Linked DNA regions of Saccharomyces cerevisiae S288C. Changing the gene in region 4 together with the main gene of any one other region gives a genetic interaction. Each region holds a gene or a part of one and is shown on either strand. Other genes may lie near its edges. The genes, in order: PRP3, HSP30, NRG1 and LIN1.

Evidence for each region.
Region 1: mutations in LIN1 (region 4) and PRP3 together harm fitness more than expected from each alone (negative genetic interaction), as found in Saccharomyces cerevisiae (2 studies listed by BioGRID).
Region 2: mutations in LIN1 (region 4) and HSP30 together harm fitness more than expected from each alone (negative genetic interaction), as found in Saccharomyces cerevisiae (2 studies listed by BioGRID).
Region 3: mutations in LIN1 (region 4) and NRG1 together harm fitness more than expected from each alone (negative genetic interaction), as found in Saccharomyces cerevisiae (2 studies listed by BioGRID).

What each region holds. Positions count from the first base shown.
Region 1 is NC_001136.10:1,403,945-1,409,793, reverse strand, and holds PRP3 (U4/U6-U5 snRNP complex subunit PRP3), read left to right. Parts: upstream 1-3,939; coding exon 3,940-5,349; downstream 5,350-5,849. Other genes in the region: JIP4 (Jip4p), read left to right, coding at 1-2,330; TRAPP subunit TRS31, read right to left, coding at 5,621-5,849.
Region 2 is NC_001135.5:154,850-160,088, reverse strand, and holds HSP30 (Hsp30p), read left to right. Parts: upstream 1-2,981; coding exon 2,982-3,980; downstream 3,981-5,239. Other genes in the region: YCR023C (uncharacterized protein), read left to right, coding at 1-1,551; YCR022C (uncharacterized protein), read left to right, coding at 2,324-2,668; HTL1 (Htl1p), read right to left, coding at 4,533-4,769; MAK31 (Mak31p), read left to right, coding at 4,993-5,239. UniProt on the Saccharomyces cerevisiae protein: Probably cooperates with other heat shock proteins in the translocation of polypeptides through membranes. It may counteract the altering effect of heat shock on the plasma membrane.
Region 3 is NC_001136.10:541,386-546,238, reverse strand, and holds NRG1 (transcriptional regulator NRG1), read left to right. Parts: upstream 1-2,869; coding exon 2,870-3,565; downstream 3,566-4,853. UniProt on the Saccharomyces cerevisiae protein: Transcriptional repressor involved in regulation of glucose repression. Binds to UAS-1 in the STA1 promoter.
Region 4 is NC_001140.6:410,300-415,453, reverse strand, and holds LIN1 (U5 snRNP complex subunit LIN1), read left to right. Parts: upstream 1-3,047; coding exon 3,048-4,070; downstream 4,071-5,154. Other genes in the region: KEL1 (Kel1p), read left to right, coding at 1-1,769; REC104 (Rec104p), read right to left, coding at 1,999-2,547; LAM1 (Lam1p), read right to left, coding at 4,665-5,154.

The DNA.
Region 1 (5,849 bases), on a different chromosome or scaffold from region 4:
CTGCAGATTATACAATGGAGGAATATTATGACGACGAAAGTGGCTTTACCTCGGACAACAATGCCGACTACTTCTCCGGGAATAGCTATTCGAGTAGGCGAGAGGGCAGTGCTAGTCCCGGCAGGTATTCTTCTCCACCTCCTGCCTCTAAAAGAAACATCAAAATAGGTAAGATGTTTAAGATTTCTGAAAATGGTAAAATTGTAAGGGAAGACTATCCTACTACACCCACCGATATCAATGACGCTCTTGTGATTAGTAGGGCGTATGCCAATTGGAGACAACTATGGATCAAGAAGAAAAATCAGATAGATCATCGATTAGAACAAAAGCGCGATTTCTTCAATTACCCAACAATACTGTTTCCTCCAAACAAAAAAAAGTCGTCTGAGGGCGCTACTCCCACAATAAAATTCAATCCTCCCATAGAAGACGGCTTTACGCCTTTGACTAAGTCTCAAAAGCGGAAAGAGCGTGTTTTGAGCGAAAAGGTTGGGTTCCCGAACACTCCTCGAACGATATTGTGCCACATCAGCGGCAGGAAACATACTTGGGTAGCACTAGATTGGGCGCTACGAACTTTGATTCAAAATACAGACCACATTGTTGTGTTGGCAAACCTGCCCCGCCTGACTAAGAATAATTTCGAAGACAATGATTCGATGAGTGAGCGAAAAAGAATGCTAATGATGATGGATGATAGCAGGAGTGTTAGCTCAGCAAGAAGATCACGATCCAGATCGAGATCACGATCCATATGTACAAGAAGGGCACTTTCTCTGGGGCCTGAGGAATCTGACAACAAATTAAAGCACCAAAATTTTATCGAGTGGACATCTGGTTATACGCAGAACGAAATAGAACGTAAATTGCAAGATCTTTTTGATTATGTTACACTCATAATTCCGCAAGATCGTTCTGTCAAGGTCACTGTCGAGATCCTAATTGGCAAGACTAAAAAAACGCTTCTTGAGGCAATAAACATCTATTTACCTGATTTCTTTGTATCTAGCACTTTGAGGTGGGAGAGAACAGACAGCTTAGTTCGTTGGAAATCGAACTTTCTGACAGATAAACTGTGTACTAATTTTCCGATTCCAACGTTTATTGTACCGGCAAAGAGAATGTTCGATTTGGAAATAGATTTGCAAAAAGAGTTTAAAGAACCGGAGGTAACGAAACAAAAAAATACTAGCGGTCCAAAGCCTGGGTTCAGCCATTCTAAATCAGCAGATGCTAGCATTCCAACTATCTCAAATATCAAACGGAAGCAAGATAACGATTATTCTATAGATTCACTATGTTATGCCCCAGAAGCTAATGGTGCTAACAATAGTAGCCGAGAGGAAGCATCTGATGATGAGCTTAACGCTTTTAAGGATGATGAGAATGATGTGATGTCCGTGAAATCCTTAACCTCTAACATTTCGGTAAAGGAAAAGTTATGTACCATGGCAAGGAAACGTAGAAAGAGTATGGCTCAGCAGTTAAATGACGCCGATCATGATTCATCAATACCACCGGGACAGAGGCATTTGAAAAAACTGAATATTATTTTGGAATCTTCATTAAAGTTTTCATTAGAAATCGATAGCATCACTGATAGTATTGAAAATGGGGATGTAGACGAAAAGAGAGCACACTCTATGGAGTCGGGCTTTGAAGAACTGAAAAGAGTCATCACAGGTGGTGCTCCTCCAAGGCATGTGGCTACCCCGCAGAGGTCCATGCTTGATGTTTTGGACAATCCAAGTTCATCTAGATCCAAATCCAAGTCAAGATCAAGCTCTAAGTCAAGGATAAGAGACAAATCAAAACCAAGCTCTCCTACTGCTACCGATATAAACTCAAGTGCGAGTGCGTCGAGATCACGTTCTCCGCAAATCAAGTTCGCGTCGAGTGTCAAGAATGTAGATGGTAATGCTGCACTGGGTGCTATTAAATCTAGGCACTCGCTAGACAGCCCAGGGGACCAGCAACAACAACATCATCATCACCATCATCGTGACACAGATCAGTTGTCCGTTCCAGGCCTTCCCCATTTGGCACCTTCAAAGTCATATAGTGTGAGTTCTGGTAATAAGGATTCATCTTTGAGGAAAGTCAGTAGCTCATCTTCGCTCAGAAAAGTAAAATCTAATGATTCGAACTCTGGTAAACGTATTAAAAAACCGGTCGTAACTTCAGCACACTTGAAACCAAGCTCAGGCGGTGGTGGTTTATTCTCTTTTTTTAAGAGTAAATCGAGATCCCCGTCATCTTTCAGAAAGGAAGATGAGAGTAAAAATACGCCTAAGCGTGGCGGATTGTTTGGGTTCGGAAGGCTGTAGTTGGTCTTACGTTCTTATGTGTTTATTCGATATAATTCTATAACATTTTTATGACTTTGTGCCTTTATGCATAACATGTATTGTACATATTAATCGACAAAAATGACATTCAATACCCTACACTAGTAATTAATAATGCTGCAATTCCATCATCGCATTCTCACCTAAAAGAAATGTGGACAGTGTTCATTATAAGCTGGGTTCCTATTCGTATTTCCGGCAATAATGCGTGCTAAGTGAGTTTGTAAAATCGTTAAAATGAGAATCAATGTACAAGGTTAGTATCACGTCAATTCTTTCAAAGCTTTATATTATTAGGTATACCTCCTTTGAAAGTAGCACCAGTCAAGATAATGGATCTTTATCCATAGTTATTGCAATTACTTTCAAAGCAATGCGGTTGTTATTGTTGCAAAAATATTGCAATATTAACTTCTTAGGAATGGTGAATTGAATTGTGTCGTAACATACGCTGTAACCCTTGTCTTTTGGGTTTAGAATGCGGAAATGAAAAACGTATAGAACATGATGAATCTACGAAGTGCAAGGTCCACGAAACAAGACAGTATCGTTGCAATTCAGTGAAATCCTTAAAATGGTTCAAATATAGATACTGGCTATCTTTTTCATTATATTGGCTTCTTTGACCTGTCACAATTATAGGGTTCAACAGTTATCTTTGGAGGAAGAAGCTGCTCATTGATGAGAAACAGGATTTATGGAAGAGAAGTCACATTCGTGAAAGGCACATTCATCAAGAAATTTTATTTTTTCTTTTGTGCTTCCCAAATTTACTGCCATACTACTCCATTTTTTGACAGCTTATTCATTTAAGAATACGACCTAACAATAGTATTCCGGAACTTTTTAACAATATCAATGACGACTAAGAGAAAATGACAACTGCAGGGAACAGATTTTAGATTTGAAAAAGCCATGACATGATACTACTATGTTCTAGATGTGTTTTATCTCCTTTTCGGTAGCATTTTTTTGGTAATTATCTAGTACGAGAGGTGACAAAATCTGTTGTTCTCCTTTAGGTTGTCGTAGTCAACTTTTTTTGTAGGAAAATTCTTGCAAGTACCCTGAAGTTATGTATGATGCAAGTCTATTGATTGTAATCAATAAGTTTTTCTAGCTCTGGCTTGCTATGTAACGTAGTGAACAATCAATGTTATCGAAAAAGTTTAGGTAAAATTCTCGAAAATGAATGCTGATAATTACTTTTTCTTCACTCCCCAATTTTGGATAATACTTGGCAGCTATATTCGCGAAACAGGAAGGTTAAAAACTGCTTCTCCAATGAAACAGTAGTTAACATATCCATTTAGCTAGAGATACTGCTTTTGGCCTCTGGACAGGCACTGTGAATTGTTCTTATATGTTCTAAAGTAAAGAGCCATGACTCAAAGAAAGTTTCTTGACTATGTTAATTTTTTTAGCATACAAATTTTAATATTATTCACATCTGCGTTTTTCTGACTGGATCCCGCACTGATCAATAACAAGAAATAGTCCTAGTAAAGTATTAGAATGCCAGATGACGTAAAACAATCAAAAAGACTCACAGAAAACATCAGGCGATCTATTGAATTGGCTTGAAAAAATGCCCCCAAGAAATACCTATGAAAAAGGTAATCCGAAACGCCAAAATAGTCCATATTATAAGCCAAGTTTCTTACGGCGTGAAGAAACTACCAATGATGAGGAGAAGTTTCAGGGCCATGGTCTGAAAACCGAACTTCACTCAGCGTTAAAGTCTTCAAATTTGAATCTTATCCGAAGAACTTATCAAACTGGTGAAAATCCCTATCTTAGTGATCCACACGATCGAGGCTCATCGAGCAGATTTAACAGGCGTTATGAACGGGGTCTGAAGTTTTACCAAAAGGGAGAAATCAGTAAAAGAATTGCCCAAGAAAGAACATTACAAAAACAGCAGGAGGAGGAAGAATTAAAAAGAAAGTTAAAACAAGAAGAAGACGAGAAAGATAAAAGAAAATTAATTGAGTCAGGTGATTTACCCAATTTAGAGTTACATGAGGATAAGTTCCTATTAGATTTGTCAAAGTTCAAGATATACTATGATAATAATCATGGCTATGAATGGTGGGACACGGCTTATTTAGATGAAAAGGGTGAGTTGATGGAAAAATATGACATGAATGGCACATCGCCTGCCGAAGAAAAGCTAGCAGAAGATATTGATGAAGTAGACGATGATGATGATGATGAGCACCCATCTATAAGATATGTAGCACATCCCTTACCTGAAAAGATCAACGAGGCAAAAGTATCAATCAAAGCATATCTAACGCAACATGAAAGGAAAAGATTAAGGAGAAATAGAAGGAAAATGGCAAGAGAAGCACGGGAGATAAAAATTAAGTTAGGACTATTACCTAAGCCTGAACCGAAAGTTAAACTAAGCAACATGATGAGTGTTTTCGAGAATGATCAAAACATAACGGACCCAACTGCCTGGGAAAAAGTAGTGAAAGACCAAGTGGACCTCAGGAAGAGAAAACATCTGGAAGAAAACGAAAGAAGACATGAAGATGCTATTAAAAGAAGGAAAGAAGCAGTCAATATGAACGTTGAAAAGCCGACAGTATACCATTGTAAGGTGTTCCAGTTCAAAAACTTACAGAACCCAAAAATAAGATTCAAGTTGAAAATGAATAGTAAAGAACTATCACTAAAGGGTTTATGCCTCCGTATACGTGATGACGGACCAGGAATAATTATAGTCGTGGGTAACGAAAAATCATGCAAATTTTATGAGAATTTGGTGATGAAGAGGATAAAATGGAATGAAGATTTTGAGTTGCACACAAACACTGGGGATATAAAAATGGACATGCATAATAATTCAATATCAAAAACTTGGGAAGGCTATTTACAAGATTGTAAATTCAAAGGCTGGTTTATGAAAGTATGCAATGATCAGGATTCTTTATTACGTACGCTGGGTCAGTTTGATTCAGAGCATTTTTATTCACCTGTTCAAACGTGATATCGGTGTCTACAAAATGATACGCTTTGTTTCATATTAAATATTATTTTACTGTATGTCGCCCAGAATAATGATTTTTTTAGCACAAAAACATTCCAAAATATAAAAAGAAAATGATTTTATATGATAGATGTACTTCAAGGAAATCGACAATTAAAAGAATCATTCTTCGTAATGAATATATGAGCATATGTCTATAAATCAACAGTAAATATACAAACTCTTTATCCTTTTCTTGGTTTTAGGTATTTACCGATGTTTTGAGATGATATCAGCCAAATCTCAAACCTTCCCTGTCAAGCACTTGCCTGTCAAATTGGATCAAATAAACGGTTCGTTGACTATGTCCGCCTTGGGGCATTCGATGTGCTGTCACGCCACATGGAAATCCAGCATTGAAAAGGAATCCTTTGATAATGCCGCAAACGAAGTACTCACAAGAAACGTTCTCACCTGGGATAAATTGGGTTAAAGTGGGGAAGTTATCTACTATCATATAT
Region 2 (5,239 bases), on a different chromosome or scaffold from region 4:
CTTATAGGAACATCTGTATCATTGTTAATACTGGGATTTTCACGCAATTTCTATCAGGCTTTGGTGGCAAGAAGTTTAATGGGATTGCTAAATGGTAACGTCGGCGTTATTAGAACCATTATTGGTGAAATAGCAACTGAAAGAAAACATCAGGCTTTAGCTTTCAGTACTATGCCTTTATTATTTCAATTTGGTGCCGTTGTTGGGCCTATGATCGGTGGGTTTCTTGTATTTAGAGATGGAACAATGAATGAAGTGCCACTATGGTTTCCACATTTTGCAAAAAGAATAATTAGGTCATATCCGTACGCCTTGCCAAACGTGGTAGTGTGCATGTTTTTGATGTTTGGTTTAACTAATGCAACATTGTTTTTGGAAGAAACACATCCTGCTTTTAAAGATAGAAGAGATTACGGTTTAGAGGTCGGTGATTTTATTAAGAAGAATATATTTGGTATACAGCCGAAAAGAAGACCCTGGCAAAAGCGCATTCAGGATGATTCGGAAAACATTCACCACCGTAATGAGAATGTGAACAGCATTCGAGGACAAGATAGTGAAGAGGATGAAAATAGTCCCCTAGTGAATACTACCAATGACGATGATACTGAAAGCATACAATCGATTGATCCTATTTTAACAAGAAGACAGTCTGTAGGCCTGATTAGGACATATTCTCTGCATGAACCAACAGACGCTGTGCATGCCAATATAGATACAGCTCCAGACGGTTGTAAAGAAAGTAGTATATTTCATCACGTTTTTCATACAAAAGTATTTTACCCTATATCGGTGAATTTTATTATGGCTTTACATTTGATTGTATACAACGAATTTTTGCCTGTTTTTTTAGCTTATGATTTAGCCGTAGATCCAGAAAATCCAAAGAAGCTGGCTTCAAAATTTCCGTGGAAAATATCTGGCGGTATAGGTTATGAACCAGAACAAACCGGTACTCTTTTGTCGACAACAGGTATCTTTGGTTGTTTTGTGGTTATTTTCATTTTTCCCATAGTTGATCGAAATTTCGATTGTTTAACAATTTTCAGAACTTTAGTCAAGCTGTACCCTATTATGTACGTTATGGTTCCTTACGTTGTTTTTCTACAGAATGAACGGATTCCTAGCTGGTATACTGTCGTCTACTTGTACATAATCACAGGGATAAAAACATTTTGTGGCGCTTTAACGTCACCACAAATTATGTTATTAATTCATAATTCGAGTCCCTTGAGTTGTAGATCAGTCATCAATGGCGCCACCATTAGTATTTCTGCCTCTGCTCGTTTCATAGGTCCCTTAGTATGGGGCTATATTATGTCTTGGTCCCAGCAAAATGACGTCGCCTGGGTCAGTTGGTGGTCGTTAAGTCTTTTTTGTATGGTAGCTCTTTATCAAAGTTATAAGATAGCACCAATTGATGATAACGAAAATGAGCTTCATGGACAGGGTAGTGAAGATGCCTACAATTCGCAGTCACAGTCTTCTGATTTAAGAATGGCTCATCGATCTAGTTTAAGCAGCTTAAGTAACCAACGCTGTACCACATGAGAAATTTTTTTTCAGAAGGCTTGCAAAAAGGATATCTAATAAAAAAAAAAATGAACTCCAGTAGATTTTAGATATCAACCATAACTGGCGAAAATTTGCACCTTTTTGATGAGAGCATGTTATGTCAAGGCATGGCCGCGTGATGGCATTGCACTCAAGATAGTTTCCGGAATTATTATACTCCTTATGTAAATTTCAATCCGTTTATGTAATTATATCCAGGAACTCAATTTGACCAGACAAGTAATGGCGCCCATTTTGAGCGAGAGAACCCATTTTTCTATACAAATTTCACTAGAGCACGGCCGTTACATTTAGTAATAGCCAATAAGGGTTTTTTATCGATTAGTGTTCCCTGCGCTCCTTAACATCATACAACCGAGTACTTGACATGGAGATAGTAGGCAAGTAAACCAAAGTCCTTTCTTCAAAAGTAGAAAACTTGAGCACTTATTTCCTGCGCATGTCATATGTTAATTTTCCTCAACTGCGCTGAATACGTCCTGTCAATTCAAATATATCACGTTGTGAGCAGCCCTGAAGAAGAAAACCTCAACAGCAGTATTACTATTACAATCAAACAACTTTAGTGCCGCGTGATACCGGGGGTTGAAGTGGGTGCATTGAGCCGTATTCTTCTTCCCCGTAAGAAAGTTGTGTATCCTTTTTACTGCGTTGTAATAGCTTCTGAAAACCTAAAAAATGAACGCTATGTAGCTCATATCCGTTTTGCATAAGTAAGAATAACTACTTGTGCAGGGTGCCGAAAGGGATGGAAAACCGCTGCAGCAACCCTTGTTACATACAGTCGGATCCATCTGACTTACTTTCCTTGCGTCTCCCTGCGCGATTTTGTTGGCCATTTTCCAGATCCTCTAGAATTTTTCAAGGGTCGAGCCGTAGGAGGATTCTCTCAGAAGGCAAAAACGCATCGAAAGCGTGCTTTGTAAGAATATTTGGTATGGCTAAAGTAAGCAAAGCCATATCCCGATCCCGATCCCGACTCTTATTCCGATCCCTTCCGCCACATCCTGCATGTTTATTCGAATACCAAATTAGCTCATCTTCGTTATTTCATCATCCCTTTCTGCTATGGCAAGGACAAGTTTTTTTCTAGCATCTCATCGAAAACTTTCCTCTCCCTAATTGGCCAAAGTTTTCATATTCATCATCAGTTAGAAAGTATAATATCAATCCCTTACCTCATTACAAGTTGTATCACACTAAAAAAATCATATATAAGTCTGTGAGAGTCTTCAATTATTTAGCGTAACACCTATTCACTTTCTAATCTTGTTTCTTGTTTTTACATTCTGCAATACAACACAACAACAAATATTAACTCAATTATTATTATTTATAATTACAAAAACAAAACAACAAGTTTGAGACTTTAATATCTTTTGATTACTAAAAACAACAAATTTCAAATGAACGATACGCTATCAAGCTTTTTAAATCGTAACGAGGCTTTAGGGCTTAATCCACCACATGGCCTGGATATGCACATTACCAAGAGAGGTTCGGATTGGTTATGGGCAGTGTTTGCAGTCTTTGGCTTTATATTGCTATGCTATGTTGTGATGTTCTTCATTGCGGAGAACAAGGGCTCCAGATTGACTAGATATGCCTTAGCTCCTGCATTTTTGATCACTTTCTTTGAATTTTTTGCTTTCTTCACTTATGCTTCTGATTTAGGTTGGACTGGTGTTCAAGCTGAATTTAACCACGTCAAGGTTAGCAAGTCTATCACAGGTGAAGTTCCCGGTATTAGACAAATCTTTTACTCGAAATATATTGCCTGGTTCTTGTCCTGGCCATGCCTTTTATTTTTAATCGAGTTAGCCGCTAGTACTACTGGTGAGAATGACGACATTTCCGCCTTGGATATGGTACATTCGCTGTTAATTCAAATCGTGGGTACCTTATTCTGGGTTGTTTCGCTATTAGTTGGTTCATTGATCAAGTCCACCTACAAGTGGGGTTATTACACCATTGGTGCTGTCGCTATGTTGGTTACCCAAGGTGTGATATGCCAACGTCAATTCTTCAATTTGAAAACTAGAGGGTTCAATGCACTTATGCTGTGTACCTGCATGGTAATCGTTTGGTTGTACTTTATCTGTTGGGGTCTAAGTGATGGTGGTAACCGTATTCAACCAGACGGTGAGGCTATCTTTTATGGTGTTTTGGATTTATGTGTATTTGCCATTTATCCATGTTACTTGCTAATTGCAGTCAGCCGTGATGGCAAATTGCCAAGGCTATCTTTGACAGGAGGATTCTCTCATCACCATGCTACGGACGATGTGGAAGATGCGGCTCCTGAAACAAAAGAAGCTGTTCCAGAGAGCCCAAGAGCATCTGGAGAGACTGCAATCCACGAACCCGAACCTGAAGCAGAGCAAGCTGTCGAAGATACTGCTTAGAGCAGCTTGAGATTGTCTTAATCATTCTTTGCTTAACACATTTCAAAACATCAGTTTTCTTCTTTTAATGTCACTAATGAAACTTAATATTTAATAATCTAATTTTAATTTCTTTATGAAATATGCAAAATAAATTATATACACAAACACAATAATTAATAATCTAATCTCATTTTTCCAAAATCAAGAAATGTTCTTACTGCTTCCATGCCTGAATAGTCTAATCGATAGTAGGCCATTTCAATTCTTTTTAGTTATATGGAGACGCAAACACCACTTTATTTTAGCGTACCCTACCAAAATTAAACGATAATATGGTATTTTTATTCTCATTTGTTACACTCTATTCTGTATCACTGGATACATTCGCGGTAACTTGTTTTATAAAGTGAGATGGGATTTATGACCATTAGATGCATATAAAAGCTTCCAAATAATAATAAGATATTGTGACTTTTGGTGAACTAGATACGCTTTGAAATTCTTCATTTGTAATGAAGCAGGATTCACATTCAATATTTTGTAGCTTACAATTGTGAATGTTGCGTTTTCCTACTTTTTCCTTTCATTTTTCAAAGCATCGAGCATTTTTTTCATTTCTTCCAAACTCATCCTTTGCCTTTCAGGATTGATAATACTATTGTGTCTTTCCGTACTTTCTACCAAGTTCAATAACTCGCATATGTTTTCTCTTTGAGATAATAACTGAAATGCTGTTAAATTTTTCAGCGTTACATTGTTGTAAGCTCTTTCAGGATTCATTGAGCTGATTGTGTTGTTCTGTGACATACGATATACTGATACTCTGTTCTAAATAACACAATCCTTTCGTTCTATCATAAAATTCAATGTTATAGGCTCATTTTGTGCATCTTATGTGGCGGATTAATTTTTTTTTTTTCAAAAAATATCTCGCGAAGTGCATGAGTTCTGACTATTTTTTAAATGCGATGATATCATTGATAGGGTGAAGATAGTCTTCAACAAACTTAGTAAGGGGCACCAAAGCGTCATGGACATCTTGAAACTGTCAGATTTTATTGGAAATACTTTAATAGTTTCCCTTACAGAAGATCGTATTTTAGTTGGAAGCTTGGTTGCTGTAGATGCCCAAATGAATTTGCTATTAGATCATGTTGAGGAACGTATGGGCTCCAGTAGTAGAATGATGGGCCTAGTCAGCGTCCCTAGGCGTTCCGTTAAGACCATAATGATTGATAAGCCTGTTCTGCAGGAGCTTACTGCGAATAAAGTTGAAT
Region 3 (4,853 bases), on a different chromosome or scaffold from region 4:
AGCTCAGCAGAAAGTGCCTATGACGGTAATCCCAGGGGCTAATGGTGTGAAGGCACTTTCTAAACAATTGAAATTAAAATACCGTGCCTATAGTAACTTTTTTTTACGCTGTGAACCGTTCAACACACAGTAAAAACTCCGCAGGAAATGGTTTGAAGAATCTTAATCACGAATTAGGCGTATTGTTTTTCCCAACAGTGAACGAGAGGACAAACTCCAGAGGATTTGCGGGCTTGATGATAAAATGTATTGTTGAAAAGATCGCGAATGCAACAATTACGGTGGGGAGAAATATCAACAAAAGGGCAAGGCTATGCCTTCTGGAAAGTGGCAGACTTGCACTTTCCTCGAAAAGAAAAATGACCGCAAGATCCGGTTGTTCTCAACCTTCTACATTAAGACATACTTCTACGATTTTCGAATGCCGAAGCAACTATCGCTGAAATTTGTCATGTCAAAATTGCTACTGGGGGAGAAGAATATATATGGAAGTAATTATTATTTACGTTGCTGAAATGGCAGGTTAGACGCATGTTTTGCAAAATAAGTGGTTTTGAAAAGAATTGATACTAGGAATCGGTGCAATACCTTCTACCTTTCTTAATAGGTATTCTTGAATAATCTACCTCACTTTCTGTCCCAGATACGAGATGTCGAGCGCCTCGAAAATAGATATCGTTTATTACGTTAGATACGGAAAGGTCTACGTGTCATAATAAATTGCATCTGGATTGCGATTTTGGGTCATGCCTAACTGGGAAAATATTTACATCTCCATGTTCTCATTCTGCCTTTGCTTTCCTTCAAAACATGGTTTTCAATTCAACCTAGGGTCTACCGCGGAACCATATGTACGCCGTAAATGCGAGTGTTCTTGAAAGGTAGTAATGTGTTCCCTCTCAATATGTAAGTCCTTCAAGAGTATGCACTTGCAGTTGCACTGTTTCGGGTAATTATCCGTCATTAAGAAAAAGATGCTTCCACTTTCTCGTGTTTTTACGCACAATCGTGCCATTTAACCGGAAATAGACTCCATTGCATTGATTGCTCTCATAAAAATTATAGCCCGCGTTTGATACTTGTTTAAAATAGGTGTCGACAAAGTTAGTTTCTGTCTTCCATTTAGTTTTTACAATATGACACGTCAAATAAATCTTTTCGATTTAGTTAAAAGAGTTACCTGGCGATAGCCTTCTGGTAAAACACCTATTCATAAAACAATCTTAAAAAACCAAAAAATTACCAAACAACTATGTAGGACATATTTTTACAGTTCATAAAAACGCTTCGAGCTGCCGATATCGGTATCAAACACCAAAATATACATAGTGCTGGTTTAAGCCAGAATATCTTGGTGAAGCTGCGCCTATATGCCTTGTATTTAAAACAAGTCACGAAAAGCTATTGCCAAAGGAACATAAAAACTCGTATCTATGTTATATTATAAAAAAGATATAATATTTATATATTATTATTAATATTATTTTTTAGTTCCGAAAGGAGAAACTTATAATTTTTATATCATTATTTATTATTATTTTTAATTTCAACTCCTTTTATACCTATTACTGCATGTGGAGAAAAGATTAAACCAGGCGAGGCAATTTACACTTATTCATTGAGATAAGATGAAAGAGCCACGCCTCGTTACATTTAGGCTACATCATATAACAACTAGTCCCAGCCTCCCCCCTTCCCCACCTTGGAGTACTTTTCTCCAGAAATAGAAAGCTAAGAATCAAAATCGCACCATTACGTATGAGCTCATTTGCCGTCTTTTCCCCGACAATCCGGCACAAAATCTGGCTACCCGTCGTATGTATGGTAGACGATATTATGTACTCTAGTAATGCTATGTACGAATAGTTTCAGACGGGCACAGGGACCTAGAACGCCAAGCGCAAAAAAAAGCTGATAGGAATTCGACGTCACGAACCCTTGGAGTAAAAGAAAACTAAAATATACGAACTTCGCGGAAAATAAAAAACTTTTCCTTCAGTTGTTCCTCGTTCGAAACAGTAATCTACACGGACCGTTGCTTATTTTTAGCCAGATTCTAGTTAAATAAAAAAAAAAGAAATAAAATTAAAAAAAAATTAAACTGTGGCAGATAAGCCTTTCTAATCGAGGCAGTGTGTTTCTTTTGACTTCACCGTTTGTCTTCGCATAGTTCCCCTAAATATTCTAACTAGAAAAATCGCTAGTATTTTTCTACTTATAAGTTGATTTTCCGCATATTTGTCTTTGAAACGTTTGAGACAGGGAAAACTCTGTTTTCTAAAAGAGGAAAAAGCAAAATGAAGTATTGGCTTGGTTGCGGTCAACACCCTCAGGGAAAGCCAAGAAATGCTTTTTACTGTTTAGCAGTGAAAAGGCCGCACCGGAAAAGAAGGGAAAAATTCATTGGGTCTAGATTTTTCTTATCGGTAAAAGACTATGGCCTCTTGAGGACCCTTAAGCGTGAAACGAAACGCGTTGAGCGCGCAGAGGGGCTTCGCCGCCGGTCAGGGTGTTTGGGGTGTTTTTTCTTTTAATTATTCTCTTGGCAGTGTCATCTTTCTACAGTCTGGCTGCAGGCTCCTTTTCCGTTATTCATATATAAGGAAGAGAACTTTCCAAACCCAAATTAAAAAAAATTTGGTTCCCATCTCTTAACTAAAAGAAATTATATTACTCCACCTCGTTTACAGTTTTTTGATGCTATAAGGGAATTCTGCAGCTTTTGAAAGTAAAAATCATATCGTATACGATTCTGCAAAGTATTATTGTACTGTAATTCCTACCATTACGGCGCCTTTTTCTACCATTCACCTTTCTTGGATTGTTCCTCTCGACCAGCATATTACTACCCTTCGCAAACTTTCAGGCAATGTTTTACCCATATAACTATAGTAACCTCAATGTTTCTACTATGCCCGCACTGCCGGGAATCTCCGCATTTGATGGAATGCAAGATGAAGAAAACGTTGAAATAAGCCCGGAAAGAAAATATCAGACGCTACTACCAGTTCTAACTAATTCTCATGTGGTAGAGAATGAACTAAAACACAAATTAAATAAGACTGCTTTTGATTTCCGATACCAAACCAAATCAGAAAATGGCTCTGAAAAGTGGGAGCCAAAATACTTAATAACGCCTAATTTACAAACAAGAAGCGTCTCTTTTGACAATTCATCGGTACAATATAATTCAGATTCATCCGAAAAAAGCTCGCTATCACAACTAACTTGTAATTCATCAATAATACAACAGCCTGAGAACGGAATAGTTTCTAATGATGCATATAATAAGATGGCAAATAGTAGATACTCTCTGAAAACGCGGAAGCAAAGAACAGATCCAAGAAATACGTTATCAGATGAGGAAGACCTTGAACAAAGGCGCAAATACATTTGCAAAATTTGCGCAAGAGGATTCACTACATCGGGTCATTTAGCAAGGCATAATAGAATTCATACGGGCGAAAAAAATCATTGTTGTCCGTATAAGGGATGCACGCAGCGATTCAGTCGACATGATAATTGCTTGCAACACTATAGAACACATTTGAAAAAGGGACAATAATTGACGGTATACCCGTGTTTTTCTCATTAGCAGTACTACTATTCCGCACTTTACATCATTTTTTATAAACTCATGCATACATACATTGTACTTCAAAAGATTTTTTTTTTTTTTTGGCATCATAAATCACTTTCAGATCAGTTTCCTTTCAAACGCGCGGCATTAAGAAAACTTTTAATGTCAAAAAAACGGAAGCAAAAACCCCTCCCTTCCGCTTAAGATCATGTCTGGACATTTTAGTTGTAAGGCTGCGCCTCGGTAGCAAGTAGTGCTGCAACAAGGCTATTATGCCACCTAAACAGACCACTTTTGCTTAATACGAGACTGTGACTACCTCCTGACTTCCTGTCATAACAAAAAAACAGACGTCGCTGCATTAACATTTACAACCCCAAACCTTCTTCATTCATTGCTTTTCTTTTAGAAACTGTGGCTTTTTGACATTTGCAGTTTGCATAGTTACTTTTTGATCACTAACAACGATATATTATCGTTGAACAATTTACTACGCAAAACAGTTCACGTGATGTACGTCAGATAATTCACTGAAGGTACTACCTTTCGAGCATCTCTTACAGCAATGGTAACAGCTCATTGAAGAAGAAAAAAATAAGACAAATTTTTTTAGAGCTGCAAGCGTTTTACTAGGCATCAGAACTGTCTCCGAACAATAGTATAGTTAATTATTATACTTCAACCCTAGAAGAAATACCCGAAGATGTAAGGATGTTTTTGTTCCTATAAGCTTTTTTTTTTCACAAAATTTTCATCCACTCTACGTCTTCCATACGGTCATATAAAAGGTGCCATATCCTCGGCCAAGACAAAAGGCTTCAGCTCCATATCTTTTGAAATCATGTAAACGCATGGGGCTCAAGTACTGAGCAAAGTAGGAGAAAGGATATTGAACATGTTCAGAAGAACGTGGTATCTTTTTCCTTATTATACATTCTCTTGGCGAGTGATCGAAAATATATATGATGATATCCTATAACAACAACAACATGAATTTCTTCGTCCGAATCCTTTATAGGTGGAAACAAACTTTGACAATAGCTTTTTAACACTGATAATATATTTTCGCGTCATTCTTGCTGATTTTCTTTTTTCTTATTCTTATTGTGCTTCATCCTCCATCTTCAATGGCGGTAACGTAAATCAGAGTAGCTTTCATTTTCTTTATTTCTGTTTCTGTTTCGCGTCGGGATAACAAAGCGTACTTACTAATGGCTATTATTTTTGCTAATGACACAAAATCCTGTTACCAATTTCCAAGAAGAAAGGCGGA
Region 4 (5,154 bases):
AGAAAGAACCTGATCTTTCTGAAACTATGGATCCAACAGTTGGAAATCAGCGCATCCCATCTTCAATCTATGGAGATAATCTCACCCCTGCAAACCAAATAAAGAATAACTCCCCAATATTAGAGACGCTTCCAAGTAATGAGATAAAAACGCCCCAAAATGGTAATATAGAGGAAATAAAACATCTTCCTGACGCTGATGAAAAAATAGATTCCACGACGACCTTCGACCAAGAGATAAACGGGGACAAACTAGGCACATCTTCGATGTCCAAGGTTGAAGAGGACGGCAATGTTGCTGACGAAGACGACGAAATCGGTGTGGCTCAAATGGCGAGCTCCCCATCCAAAGATCAGTTCAAAATAAAGCATTATAATGAATCTTCAGAATTATCACAGAATAATACGGAGATCGACAAACTGTCCGAGCCTGTGGATATTACAATAAAGAAAAGCGACACCGCGGGCCATGATAGTGCTAACCATGTTATTGATGCAAGTGATGAAAAAAACGTGTCCCCAATGGGAGACGTTCCAACTGATACGAAAAATGAAGAAGCTAGCGTTCCTATAAATAGAGATGCTACTACCGAAGTCGTAGATAGGGCACTATTTGAGAAATTAAGATCGGAATTGCAAAGTTTGAAAGAATTGACGCACGAAAAGGCGCTTGAAGCCGGAGCTCACATAAAGGAATTAGAGACGGAGCTATGGCAGTTAAAATCCCAGAAGAATTCTGGGACAACGAAAGAAATAGATGAATTGGATTCCGTCAGACTGCAATCAAAATGTGAAATACTAGAGGCAGATAATCATTCCTTGGAAGATAAAGTTAATGAGCTAGAAGAGTTGGTGAATAGCAAATTCTTAGACATAGAGAATCTAAATGAAGTTATACAATTTCAGAACGAAAAAATTAAATCCTTAGAACTAGAGCCTAATTACAAAGAAAAACTTGAAGAACTACAGATAGAACATGAGAATTTGAGTAGAGAAAATGAAAGGTTGAAAAATGAAAGCAAACAACATAACGAAGATATAATCAATAATGTTGCGAATTACTCGTCACAGTTAGGCTCATTGATCAGTCATTGGAAAGAAAACAGAGCCAACTCTTCGTTTCTTGAATCTTCTTCTTCTTTGATATCTGTATCGGATGAAAATGGCGAGAAAACTGTCGGTGAACCCTATGGTGATCAAAGTCGTCACCACCGTGTAGTGATTAACAAACTAACGAATAGATTGGACGATTTGCTGGAGAGAAGTCAAGAGCTAACAATATCTAAAGAAAAACTATCTTCTGAATACCATGCTTTAAAGATGGAACACAGCTCATTAAGTCAAGATGTATTAGTAAAAGAGAATGAAATCAAAAAAATACAGAATGATTACAAAGAAAGTATCAGTTCTATGGACAGTGCAAGTAAGGCACTAATGGTTTCACAAAGAGAGCTAGAGAAGTACAAGAGTTTGAATAAAAAGTTAATCGACGAGTTAGATGAATTGAAGTTCAAAAATGGCGTCTGCAGTGAAAATTTCGAAAATGGTCTCAGAAGCACCGAGGAGAGTTCCAATAATGTAAAAAATAGCAACAGCATAAGAGAAAATCAATTCAACATCAAAATAAATGATCTGAAAGCGGAACTCTTCATCACTAATCAAGAAAGAGATGACTTGAAAAGTGAAGTGTTAGAGTTGAAAAAGAGATTATTGAATTTGGAAAATAACACCAAACAAGTTAATGAAGATGCTGACAGCGATCTACTATAAAAGACAATATGCGTAATGAAATTTCACTTTTCATGTGTAATAACAATAATAATAATAAACATTGATAATAAACATTAATAATATTAATAGTAATCATAACAATTATAATAATGATATAATATAATAATAACTGTACTCTTGACAAAAATTTATATATCATGGAAGAATAAATGAAGGAGAGAAATAGTAACGTGACAAATAGCTTATGCTAACGATATCAAACTAAATCTCAGGGACTACTAAACTGAAATATGCTCCCATTTGAAGCCTGTCTCTCATACATCAGCGCAGAATAGTCCGATTGCAGTATTTGGGCGGTGCTGGACGAAGATATGGGTCTGATTTCATTTACTTCACTTCGTAGCAATGTAAAGCTAAATTCATCCTCTATTTCATCTCCTGCTTGATCATTCCTCTGTATTAAAGGATCGTCATATAATGTGTCACTATACAGAAGACAGGTATCATTATTATTGCTTTCCACCCTCTTCGGCATGCATACTGGGTCGCCTAAGATAAACGGAAGAGATACTGTTGCAGATTTCTTAAAGGAATTGCTTAAGAGGTACGTTGAAGCTGTTCGTTTTAACCCAGGCTTAGGATAGTTTGTCCATGACATGATACAATTTACTGCCTTATCAAATTCATCTTTATTTATCCTTTTTACGGTCTTGTTATTTAACCCAAATTGAATGCTAACCCTTTCAGTTACAAAGTATTGGTGAAGAAAGTCTTGCGTACATGTGATCTTATTTGTATCTTCCTCCTCGATGGACATGTTGTCCAAGTTGCTGTATGTTCTTTTCTTCAGCAGTTTGTTTTCTTATACAAAAGATATATTTTATTTGGTATAGCGGAAAATAGCCGCCAAATATTGTGCGTCAAAGTTGAAGAAACATAAAGTTTAACACTACTGGTTTATGAAAGAAAAGACTACATTTGTAAGCCTACTCCAAATTGACCTTTGAATAAGTGTGGCTTACTCTATTAGCTAAAGGACATTATCACTCATCACCATGAACATTCAGTAGTAACATAAAAGTCCCTGCCTTGTTTGTGAATGAGGGTCCCTTCCTTTACATTCTACCAACATAGTCTCCTTTTCTTCCATTTATGCCCTAATAATCGATTTTAATTACTTAATGGGTAAGTTTCTCTGACTAGATTAAAAGAAGCGCATCCGAACAAATTGGAATGACCATGCTAAGCTGCCTTTTAAAGAACAAGGGAAAACTTTGATAAAAACACTCAAGTGCACCATATTGTTTGTAGAAGGATATGAAATATACGCAATACCCGAACAGCTCAAAACTGAAAAGAAATAGTGATCGACGTGAACACGACGAAAAGCTTAGCGATGAGTTACATAATCAAAGTACGATATATGAAGATGAAGAGCTAAGCAGGGCAGAATATGATTCTGATTCTGATTCTAGCGTTGAAGATTCTACAGATAATGAAAATAGTGGGAAAGAAATGGATGAAAAATCCTATGAAAAAAATGAAGATCACGTCGAAGACCATAGAAAGCGAAAGAAATCGAAAATTCAGCTTTTGGATATTGCAGAGTTCAAGAAAGAAAACTTAGCCGACTTAGATTATCAGATCGGTAATTCAGAGAGCAAGGTAGAAAAAGGTGTGAATATAGAGCCATTTAATATAGATGACGAAATAAAACATGGGGTATTCGATAAAGATGGGAATTATATTAAGACAGAAAACGCCACAGAAAATGATCAACAAGATAATGAGGAATGGATGAATGATGTCATAAATACAGAGGAGGTAAATCGCTTAGAAAAGGAACAAAGTGTCAAAACGCAGAATTCGAGACATTATATGGTCCACGAAGCATTAAATCTTTTGAAATTTTTTCTTGTTGATGAGAATGAAACAGTACTGGAATCCTTGGGCAGGTTAAACAAGCTGCGAAAAATTGCCATTTCAAAAAAGAACAAATCATTGAAATATGTTATTCACGGAATCGAGCTATTATCTGATTTGATCAATATACTAGAAAAAAAGGGATTCAGTGAAGTATATGAATATAACCGCTTAAAAGTTCAGGATGCTATAGAAGAGGAAATTTTCGATGACTCCTCCAGAATAGTTAACCATAAAACAAAGTTATGGGGCTTCAAGTGGTTGAACAAATTAGATGAATATCACGGCCTGTACACGAACTATGAAATGTCTTATTGGCAAAAATCCTACTTCAAAAACAGTGTTATAGTAAAATTTCACAGCGAACCAGATCGAGATGAAAACTGGATACATGTATCGTGTTTAAGTTTCATGTAAGATATAAAAGTTGAAATTATTCAAGAGAATTGCCTGCGAGACTATATAGTACTAAGTTTATTGTTTGGTCAGATAAATTGATGAATGTTGGATAGGAAATTTTTATCAATCATATCAAAAGATCTGAGTGAGCTGAGAAGGTTATCATCATATAACAAATAAACAGGACTATATTATTGGCAGACAAAAAATGAGTATCACAAGTGTACAAGGAAACCAGGACAGTAAACCTACTGTCGCAAATTTCCTCTATCCACCTGGCGCGTAAGAATCACCTGATAAAGATATCGTTGAAAGCATCGACCTAGACATTTTTAAGCTGCCATAAATTGGGCTGATAAATTTGTGATATTTTTCTCCAACTGTTTATGGTCTCTTATATACTTTGCGAAATTCTAGAAAAACGAAAAGGTGAAAAAAAGAAACCCGGAAAGGGCGAAAAAAAAAAGTACTTAGGGTTAGCACCACAATTATATAAAATGCTATGTATTTTACAATATAATCATGAGCCAAGAAATAAAAAAAGTTCACCCATTCTATTAGACAAGACGGGGTCCTTCTGATTATTGAAGAGTAGACATTCTGGGGCACTATTCAGACTGGAATGGCAGATAATCTGTTGTACTCTGCAAAACATGCCATACAATAATCTTGTAGTTTGGTATCGTTTATCCATAAATCAAAGATTTCATTCTGAGTGGTGATGCATTTGTCTCTTTCTGTTATTATGAATTTTCTGTAACTTCCCTGTACGAGTTCCTTTTCCGTATTTTGTAGAATTTTTAATTCCGTCAGCACTTGGTTTCGTTTAATTGCAATTTCTTGCCTTGTTCCTTTGTACTGGTATGCATTTTTGTCTTCGTCAAATCTCTTGAATACTGGATTTTCCTGGTCATTATCCATCATTTTTCTTGTAAGTAGGTTCAAATCAGGCACTGTCAAAGACCGATGCATGATTTGAAGTCCTCGCTGATCACCATTGGCATAGTTCTGAAATAGGGTTTCGGCTGACTTTACGGAGAAATATGAATGAATAGATTTACCAACAAAGAACAAATTGGTTACCGCAGATATCAAAAGACAA